Drosophila melanogaster: one gene and its partner. The protein of the gene in region 1 interacts with the protein of each later gene in a pairwise test. Each region holds a gene or a part of one and is shown on either strand. Other genes may lie near its edges. The genes, in order: CG14367 and CG14506.

Region 1 (4,253 bases):
ACGGAGTTTGGTGTCTTGAATACACTGCGTGAACTAAACATTGCAAACAATCGGTGGGTATTGGGAAATATCTTTTCTAAACTATGTAGCTTTATTTAAACTTCCCACTTGTTTATTTTCAGCTTTCCGTGTATTCCCAACTGTGTGTACGAGCTGCAAGGCCTGGAGATCCTCATTGCCAGTGAGAACCACATAAAAATGTTAAATGTATCGGGTCTGCAGAACATGCGACGTTTGAGCACATTGGATTTGCGCAATAACGACATCGAGACAGTGCCACCAATTTTGGGGAACCTGACAAACATAACGTAAGATCCTTGCTGGGGATATATATTGTTTGGAGCCAAACTTATTTTCTCTGTATATTGCAGTCACTTGGAGCTGGTGGGCAATCCATTTCGACAGCCCCGCCACCAAATCCTGATGAAGGGCACTGACGCCATCATGTCGTATTTGCGCGATCGCATACCCACATAGAAGAGCAATTCACACCGTTTTTTGAGAAACACTTCACTAGCAATATGTTTATTTTGAGGAATAGCGTAATGGAAATTGATAGATCCGCTCGACCATGCCCACAAACAATCAATCTATGGATTGGCTGTTTGTGGACATGGATGAGGGGTGGCGTTACAAGTACAACATACGACACACACCGTGCATCAACCAACCAAACTAGTCTGCATGCCACAATACCTAATGCACGTTGTTAATCCTGGCTGAGTATCTGCAATAAATGGGAATAGTAGGGAAAAAAGTGCGTCCTTTCTTTCACTTCTGCTCAACCACTTCGCTGCGCAAGCGCTTGGCAAGATTGCGTCTGAGCTGCAGGGCAGCGTTCTCCTCAGCTTCTAGTGGTGCCGGCATGGAGAGCTCCTTAGTCTGGCCGCCATTCTCGAGCAGCTGTTGGGCCACCAACGCGGAGCTGGGACGTGCTCCTTCCGGTGCATGTGGAGTACCGCGGGACATGGTCTCTTGCAGTTGCTTTGCACGCGTCTGCTTCTTTATCTCCACAATCTTGTCACGCTGTTGGCGCAGGTACTCCTGCCGCGAGACAACATCACTGGGGTCCACACGATCCTCCTGCTCGAAGAACAGATTCAGGCGCTGGAACTTGTCGTTAACCAGCTCCAGATTGGGCTCCTGCTCTGGAGTTAGGGCCGCTTCGGGGCTCTCCAGTTCGTCAGACACCGTCTTGGCTATCATTTGTTCCACCTCGGAGGCGGTATCCCTGTTCAAAGTATAATGTTCATATATAATATATATATGCGATATAGAATAATGACCAAAAAACAAGAAGTATTGATTACTAATTACCAAAACCCGTGTACAATTTGGTTGGCAAAGTGCCTACAATTGCATAAGACATCATTACCCACCCTGGATCCGAGCTAGCGTCCGCACTGCGGTCATCCCCCTCCTCGACGCCACCAGGGGCTAATTGATTTTTCTCTATGAGATCCAGGGCCTGCAGCTGAAGCTCCACGTTGCGTTGCGTCATCATCCGTATGAATATCTTCAGATCGTTGGCGGCCCATATCTGAAAGATGACATCTTGGAGACACGACTGTGTGAGATCGTGCGACCGCACATACCTGCTGGAAAAGCACCTGGTGGAAATGAAAGGGATTCTCGCCCTGACCCTGCTGCCTACCCTCCAGACAGGCCATTTCGAACTGCTCCGGTGATATCTGCATCTCCTCCATGAAGCTGCCGAGCATGTAGTCCACCAGATTCTTGTATTCCTCGTGTATCTGCAGTATGTCCGGATTGTTCTCATCCAACTGCTGGTTGGGATCGAAGACTGCACCAAATCCCTGCGTTACTGGCGATTACATTTTCTGAGTGGACTTCTCACCTAAGGACTTTTGCTCTATGAACGTCTGAAGCGGAGCATTCCAAATGGGCCCGTGCAGGAAGCACACCAGCGAATCGAAAACCCAGGAGTCTTCCACCGACATTTTAGCTACAATTGAAAGAAGTGACTAAACTGCATAGTCGACATTTGTTTGGTCCTTGAATCGGTTGCCATGGCAAATGAAAAACCACCCAGCACCAAACACCTGACAGTCAGGTATTTGCTGCTATATTGAATAAAATAACAACTTGAGAGCTTTGCCATTTGTTTCTGTTTAAAAACTATTAAAAACTATTATTTAATTTACTCATAATAATAATATAGAGTTATATATATCGCATTTTACGCACGGATGTTTTAACAACTAAATAAAATATTCAAATTATAGACGTAATGGGTATGTGTTAGGATTAGGGATTAGACAGCATATCATATACAATACACGATTCATATAAATACTATGTATAAACTATAGTGTTGTCGCTTTACGTTTACGCTTAGTTTTCGTTATCGTTTTCATTATCATTTTGTTTTGTTTTCGTTTCTGTTTCTTGTTGTTATCCTTGTTCTTGTTAATGCTGCTCAATCAAACAAACAAAAACATCAACTTGGAAGGACAAATGTTTGGATACACGTATTCCCCGTCTATTTTATTGGTGTACTATCATAGGTATAGATCGTGGACTTCGGGAGTGGGAACGATCGGTTGCTCGGGGGAAACCGTTTGCAGTGACAAGTTCTTTAAACACTAAAATAAATAAATGTAGTACAGTACGCAACGCACATGGCAAATACGATTATTAACAAATAACTTTATTACTTTCTGTCAGTGTAGCTGTGGGATGTCAATTGGTTTCAGTGTGTGAGCGAGCGTATGAGTGTGGATTGAATTGGATTGGATTGGTTCCAAGTGAGCCCTACTACATTCGTTAAATACAAATTAATATTATAGTTAAATACGAAAAAAACTTACTCGAAAACTCAAGAAGACTATTTTACTTAAGACTTTATTTTATTGTTATCTCTGCTTGCTGATGTCTGTTTGCCCCACATTAGTTTAACTTTACGTCCTATTTGTTATCATTATCATTAATAATTTATTGATGTGTGTTGTGTTTTTGTTTGTGTGTTTCAATAATGCAAGGATAGCGCAACAATTGTTTGTAATTACACAGTCAATTACACAGACAACACATCTCAAGACTCTGGATTTCGAACAGCACGATAATGTGCAAAGATTTCGATATCTCCAAGTGCAAATATATGCGTTTAATGTCGGCGTCAGTGGTGCAAGGGCAGTTATCAACTAATCGCGCATTGAGAGTGACTAAATTATATACAAGGTTCATTGGGTTCAAGTGTTATCTGCATTTAACTCAAGGGGCCGGCTAACAAACTTCGTCAAGTTGGCCCTGGCAATCTGGTTGATATTCAGAAAACAATCGCAATTACACAAAAAACAGAAGCAATCCTAATGGAAAAAAAAACATTTTACTGCTGTGGGAATAGTTTAAATTTTAAAATTAAAAACATCTATTTACAGCACTGCTTGCAATAGAAACTTTCATAAAATGCTTTCGCGATAAGAATTATTTAATGAAATTGTCAAGTGAAAACAGCGCTGTATCGTGATAGTGATAGTACAATTGGCAGAAAATCCATCTCAATGGTGAGAAGGATCGTAAAAATGGTTAAGTCTAGGCTTTAGAACTAAATACACCCTTTTGCAATTGTTATTTAAATATCGACACGAAAGTATTGCACAAACATTCTGGGCCAGCAGCCAACTTCACAGGATCTGTTAACTCATACGATCTCATACGATAGACATTGCAAATGGATGTGCTGGCGCTGGCTGTATACAAATCTCCCTCACCACCTGACCACACCTCCATTGCGCTGGCGCTGCTGCTGCTGTTCATATCAGTTTGGAGAGAGGGGGATTTAACTACTAAATACAATTTATTTTGGTTTGTTTCGTTAATGCTTTGCTTTGCCAACTTTCCAACAACACGCACTCAACTACATCTCTGCTTGTGGATGCTGATCAGTTATAGTTATCTGTGTTTTCATATGCATATATATTTGAATATATATATATATATCTATATGTAGTTATTTAATTTAGTAAAGTAAGATTTATAATTTCTCGTTTACTTTAGGTGTTTTTGCTTCTCCTTTAAAATAAATTTTATGCTAAAATTTAAATTTATGCTTTCTTGTTCGATCTTACATCGTACGGCTATTTGCTTGCTTGCCTACTGTGCTGTATGTCGTTGCCGCCAATGCAATCCTAACATTCGTTGGTGTTGGTGTGTGGGGTCTGTGTGTTGTTTGTTGCTTGTTGTTTGCCGTGGTTTCTTGTATTCTGTTATGTGTGTACTAATTTATAATT
Region 2 (6,090 bases), about 16 Mb from region 1:
CAGTCCTTACAATTTCTTCATATATCTACTATTATTTTAGAGAACAGACAATTACAATGCTTTTCTTAGAGTATTTTTGAAGTCATCATATTGCCGGTGATTATATTTTCTTTGGCAATGATCTCAATAGCCTTGAGTTTATTTATTTATTTACTTTAAAAACTTATTATTCCGCTTTGATAACATGATAGTTGTTGTAACACAAAGTCATTCCTTTTCGTTTAAAAGGAAAGTGCTCTAAACTGCTGCGAAATGTGTGGAAACAATATAACTCTTGTTACAATTACTAGATTTATTTGTCCCGCTAAAAATAAAAAACCTATGATATTACATGCCTTTAACAAGGCACGTTTTTACTATGACTATGGCCATTCATTGGCCTAGACAAAGGCCATTTAAAAACCCATTTCATACAATTAATAACAATAAAATTACACTAAAATTGCAACAACACCGCACACCCCCAACAAGGCGGAAGACAAAGGACACAAAGGCCATTGTCGCAGGATCTGATCCACTTGCCACCGCCGCCGCTATTCAAAGTAACTCGTAACTTTGGTCGCTTCATTCACGAAACGCACTGTACTATATAGTCGGCCACTGGGACACACAATGGGCGTGGCCCTGCGCACTCGACTTCGAAATCCAGAGACACCGAGTTGCAGGAACACATTGCACGTGCGTGAGTGCAACAATTGTCCTGCAAACTGCAATTGTGTCATGTCCTGATCGCTATTCTATCCTGTTTGTCCTGCACTGTCCAGCTAGAGAAGTGTAATTTTCCATTTAAGATCAACGATGTGAAAATTTCCAAGACGTGATTTTTACGTCGTTTTTTCCTTAAAGCGTAGCCATTGAGCTATTGTTTGCGTAGTTCATTAGTTGCCAGGACTCGAGTTCATTTCGATGGACACGTATATGTCGGGAAAATGCCGCCAAAAACGGTAGGTCGGATTTTCCTGCCAAACTTTGCCGCCTCAGCTGCGGTTGAGTGTTTTTTTTTTCGTGTGCTTCTTGCGAGTTTGGTGCTTCGAACATTAAACTAATTTATCACCAATATATGCCAGGATCCTGGGCGCACGGGCTGGGATGGGCTGGGAAAGGACACCCCTTTCGGTGGGAATCGCTCGTGTGTTGGACTTTTGTGTCTACTTACCATAATGAAAACATTTTCAAACATTTTATGCAAAGTCCTGACATGACCTTTGCCGAACCTCAACGCGCCGCGTCTCCCGTTGCGCTCGATGTCCTGTCCCGAGTGTCCTGAATGGGAACTGCAACACACACATGCATGTATATCTCATCCCATCCCTTACCGGTTCGTAATTTGCGATCTGAACTAGTTTTCGGCGTGGCCCTGTCATTATGTAGATTTTTCAGCCCGCGAGTACACGATCGCCCCACAAAAATTGGAAGGGGAATTCGAATACTTAGTGGAAGACACCGATGTTGTTGCTGTTAGTCGGGATGTTCCATGTTCACCGGGTTTGTTTACGGGGGTCATCAGGACTGGGATTTGTTCTCACAGGAAATATATGTGTGCTAGACCATAAACCTTGAAAGCACAAAGAGAACCAGATAACGATCCAGTCCAAATGTATCCACCGGCAAATGGGAAAAGGCAACACAAAGCCGCAATTTGGCTGGTGAAAATCATCGAGGTCGATCCATTTGCAGGACCATATACCCATTTATATGTGCAGCTCTACTACATATCCGCCTCCGCCGCGATGAGTGACTGCCGGGTTTGACTGTCTAAGCCGCAGGTACGAAGTGATTAAACGCCGAGCTATTGCCACCGCAATTAGGATCGCATCGGGATCGGGATCGGGATGCCCGAGATCCCAATAAAAGCCAAATTGAATCGGGGTCGGCAACGGAATTGAGAGCGGGGGCAACTAGTGCAGGACCTGCAAGGATGCAGCTGATAATGGCAAAGAATTGCGTCGTCACAGGTTCACAGAGATGGCCGGCCAAAAAGGAAGACAAGTAGTGCTGGGGGGGGGAGAAGGTAGAACAATTTTTTTAACATCAAACGAATAAAGGTCGCTCTCGCACACTCGTATTTACTGTGGAAAAGGGAGCTCCTGATTTGTTGCAAGATTTCTTCGTAAATGGCATAAAAAACTGCTCGAGAAACAAGGCGACAAGCCGTGGGATCGCCGTGGCCGTGGCTGTGGATCGTTGTTAAGATTGTTAATGGCACCCGACCTGTTCACGTCCACGCTCACACAATGTTGGACAATTAACACGGCCCAGCAAGAAGAAAGCCAGGTTTTTGGAGGCACATCCTTGGGAATGTCGGGCAGAACAGAGGCCGCGCTACAGAAATCAAGGCCCCCTATTTCATCGCATTTATCGCATTCCCGCGCCCCCTCTAGGAATTGTTCATATTTTGTGTATCATTCGGTCAGGGGCAGTACCGTCATCAGCTGATCCAGGGGATTAATTATGTTGACAGGTTGCTGCGATTCAAGTGCCTTTGAATTGGAATTGGAACTTTTTGTGTAATATGTTCACGTTTCATTCAAGCAGCTCCATTCATATCTTCCAGGAATCTAAGTCACATCCTTCGGCTTCCCTCAATTTAGAAAGTGTCCGACTTATGTAATGTATGCCATTTCCTTATAATGAAAGTGTTCTTTGAAGTTTCTTGGGAAATATTGCTTAACTATTGTTATATTGAATGATATATGATATGATAGATATGATTTGCATTTGGTAATTCCTACTCTTTCTGTGCGTACATCTGATCCGCAAACATCGAAATGCTGGGTCGGTCTTTCATCTCGCTGAGCTGTAGGTCGACGTAGTTCTTGGTCCGCCGATAAGCTGCCACATTAGTGTAGCAGTGATGGACATAGTTCTGACCCAAACTGGCTAGAACGGCGTAGCGGAGATCTGACTTGGAAACTTTTCGAAGAACAGGTTTGGGCTTAGGCACTAGGGGAGTGATCGGCAGAAGGCTCGGCAAGGATGGGAGCACTGGACTAGAGGCAGGAGGTGGTGGAGGTATTTTAAAAATAACTTTTGGAACGGCTTTATCACTAGGAGTTTGTGGCAGGGATGGGAGCACTGGACTAGAGGCAGGAATTGGTGGAGCTATCTTAAGAGTAACTTTTGGAACGGCTTTATCACTAGGAGTTTGTGGCCACTTTGGAGCTGGTGGCTCGACAGACTTGTGGGGCACGGCAGCCAGTTTCTTCCGTATGCTCAGTAGGAGCTTTGCCGAACTGGAAAGACCCTTTTCCAGGGCCCTCACCTCGTCTGAACTGGGTTCGAATTTCAACAAGTTAAAGCTCCAGCGGGAGATTCCAATGTCATTGGTTAATGCATAGGCATAGTTTCGATCAGATTTTACGGCGGTAAATGGACTATAGGACGTGGGTTCTACCAGTTTTTGAAGAAGCAATGATCTGTTAATTGGTGGCTTCGAATTCTTCTCTAAAGATTTGTGACCACTTTGTTTGGCGTCGTTTTTCTCTGCCTGCCTTACAGGAGCTTTGTGTGGCTGCGTTATCGTTGCCTTTGGTTTTTTTATGGTCCCAGAGTTTTGCTGACTTCCCTTATTTGTACTTTTTTCTTTCGCCTTGCGACAGTTCAATCGGTATCCCTTGATCAGATGTGGATTCGATTCGATGGCATGCTCCATGTATGAAGTGCGACTAAACCGCACCATGGCGTAGTTAAAGTTACTCATGCCATTCCTCACGCTGACCCTCTCCAAATCCCCAAATTTGCTGAAATAGGTGAACACATCCCGATGGGTAATGTCCTGGTCTAGGTCGGGAATGAACATCAGGCGATCGTGTTCCGGCTCGGGAGGCCGTCGTTCGGGTGGCTGGACTACCACTGTGCCAGGTTGGTACGTTTTCACCTTCTCTTGTAGGGAATGGAAATTTGCTAGGATTGTGGATAATTCAAAGTCCGTGAGAAGCTTAAAGTCCCCGATAGCCGTTCTCACCTGCCTTTTCCCCATAGACACTAGCTGGTTCCCTGGGCATGGCTTCCCCCAGCTGGGATTCACTAATCCTTGCTCTTTTTGGCGAAGGACACGAATCAAGTCCAGGCAAGTCCAATGGCGTGTTGGTCACTCCCAGGGGTTCTAGGGAAATCAAGGAGCTCCATGAACTATCCATGCTTTTTAAAGCCAAGTTGAAATATACTTGGTTGATAGACAAACCCAAAGCCAACTCTGATCAATGACTATTTATTATAAGAGTGGTGAAGTGGGGAGTTTTCCCTTAAAAATTGCCATTCATAGAAATAAATTCCCTAATTTTTACGCAGAATCTAAAGTCTTTCCCCTGAGGTTTCCCCAAATCCTTAAAAGTCAAACCTACTCAAACCTTTCCCATTGCATAAATGAAAATTGCACTTTCAGTTCATCGAGGCCTGGGAAAATTTTTATCCGTTTCGCACAAGGAAATGATTTGCCAAACTGAGCACAAATATTTTCATCGGAAATTTCATAAATATTTTATGAAACTGTAGGATCAAAGTCAAAGCCCCATTTAAGGTCCCCAGAGTGGCTGCCGTGCCATGAATGAATATTCGTAACGGTCGGCATTCCGGCTGCGATTCATGAAACTGTTGCCACCAAATCGTGGCCAAATGAAAGGAACCAGTAGGCCAAAGGCAAAAACCCAGCTGGAATGCGTTGGCAGTTTGAATGTCGCCTCAGGTGACAAATTGCAAGGCTTGCACAGGTTGTTCAGGTTGCACATAGCCGGTGTAAAAAGGACGACGACTCAATGACGCGGCAGGTTTCGTCGAAAAAATGTGCCATTTCGCACCTCCATAAAAACGTGTCCCGAATGGGTTTCCCTGTCATTTGCCATCAATGGACTGGGCGGCCTTCGGTTTCGGTTGCATAATGTTTGACTGCTGGGCGGAAAGTTGCACATGGCTTCTAATGTGCGATTTGCATTCGCAATCGGTCAAGGGTGCACCGGATGCGATGAATGTTTACCCAACTCGCAGAAATCAGGGCGCGCATCCCTTTCACGAATCCATCTGCCAGTGCAGATCCTGCACATCCTTTGCCACCCAGGTTACGTAAGCCATAAACAAGTGGACCATGGCGGACTAATAGACTTGTTGCCAAGGCCGCAGAGATCGCCTCCTTCTCACGCCTCGACTGCATCCGGGATTCCAGCTAAAAACGCGGCAATATCCCTCAGATACTCGGATACTTTGTGCGGACGTGAACTTCAGCCGTTTAGCCATTCAGGCATTCATTGATTCATTCATGAACATTCGCCCGCAAACAATAAGGACACAACTAGCAAATCTCTCTCGAGCACTTCAACGAACAATGAGGAGCCCAAGCAAATTTCGGTACGAGGACATTCAGTGTTCTCACGTTCATTTCGGCGATTTCCTTCGTCTTTGGGTGTTTTTTCGGCTCTTTTTTAATGTTGGCTTAAACCTCAAGTGACCGAGGGTTTGATGATGATTATGATGAGCTCACAGAGAATTTGCGAAAAAAAAAAAAACTAAACGAGAGAGGAGAAAGGAAAGCGGATACTCAGCCACTCAACCGGGTGTCCCGGCATCCTCATCATCCGCCGATCATCCCGGATATAGTTCGATATTTTTTGCGAGTTTCATCATAACGAAATTCCCTGAAATGCCCCAAGAACACATAATAATCAGAAGATAATGCCGTTGATTATCTCGGGAATGTCTATTCATCGCCTGGCGCTGTGTCCTTCGAGTCCTGCCGCCTCGAATTTCCCTCGCCGTGTGCGGCCTGCCAAAAAGTGAGAATTTATGAGGTTTTCACCAGCGCAGCTCTGGTGGTGAGGGAGTTTCCCTAGAAGTTGCGATTGGAGCCGTGCGGCAACTGTGGGAAAACTGCATTTTCCGGCCTGACTTTGGTGTCTACCAGGAATTTCGGCTTTTATCACGGATGCGAGATGTTGTCGTCTGTCGCTCATTGTTTGTACCAAACACAAATTTAATTTGATTACAAATCAGAGACAGGCACACATTTGCATTCAAGACTTTCCCAGTCACCCCGGAACCAAGAACTTAGAACCCGCATCCGAATCCGCATCCGCATCCCTGTGATTTGGTCAAGACATT

The links.
Region 2: the proteins of CG14367 (region 1) and CG14506 interact in a two-hybrid assay, tested with the Drosophila melanogaster proteins (one large-scale study listed by BioGRID).

Annotation. Positions count from the first base shown.
Region 1 is NT_033777.3:13,691,761-13,696,013, reverse strand, and holds CG14367 (uncharacterized protein), read right to left. Parts: upstream 1,962-4,253; coding exon 1,859-1,961; intron 1,805-1,858; coding exon 1,596-1,804; intron 1,541-1,595; coding exon 1,380-1,540; intron 1,232-1,379; coding exon 772-1,231; 3' UTR 501-771; downstream 1-500. Other genes in the region: f-cup (flyers-cup), read left to right, coding at 1-53, 123-308, 372-477.
Region 2 is NT_033777.3:29,293,091-29,299,180, forward strand, and holds CG14506 (uncharacterized protein), read right to left. Parts: upstream 4,091-6,090; 5' UTR 4,005-4,090; coding exon 3,965-4,004; intron 3,904-3,964; coding exon 2,729-3,903; 3' UTR 2,071-2,728; intron 1,996-2,070; 3' UTR 653-1,995; downstream 1-652.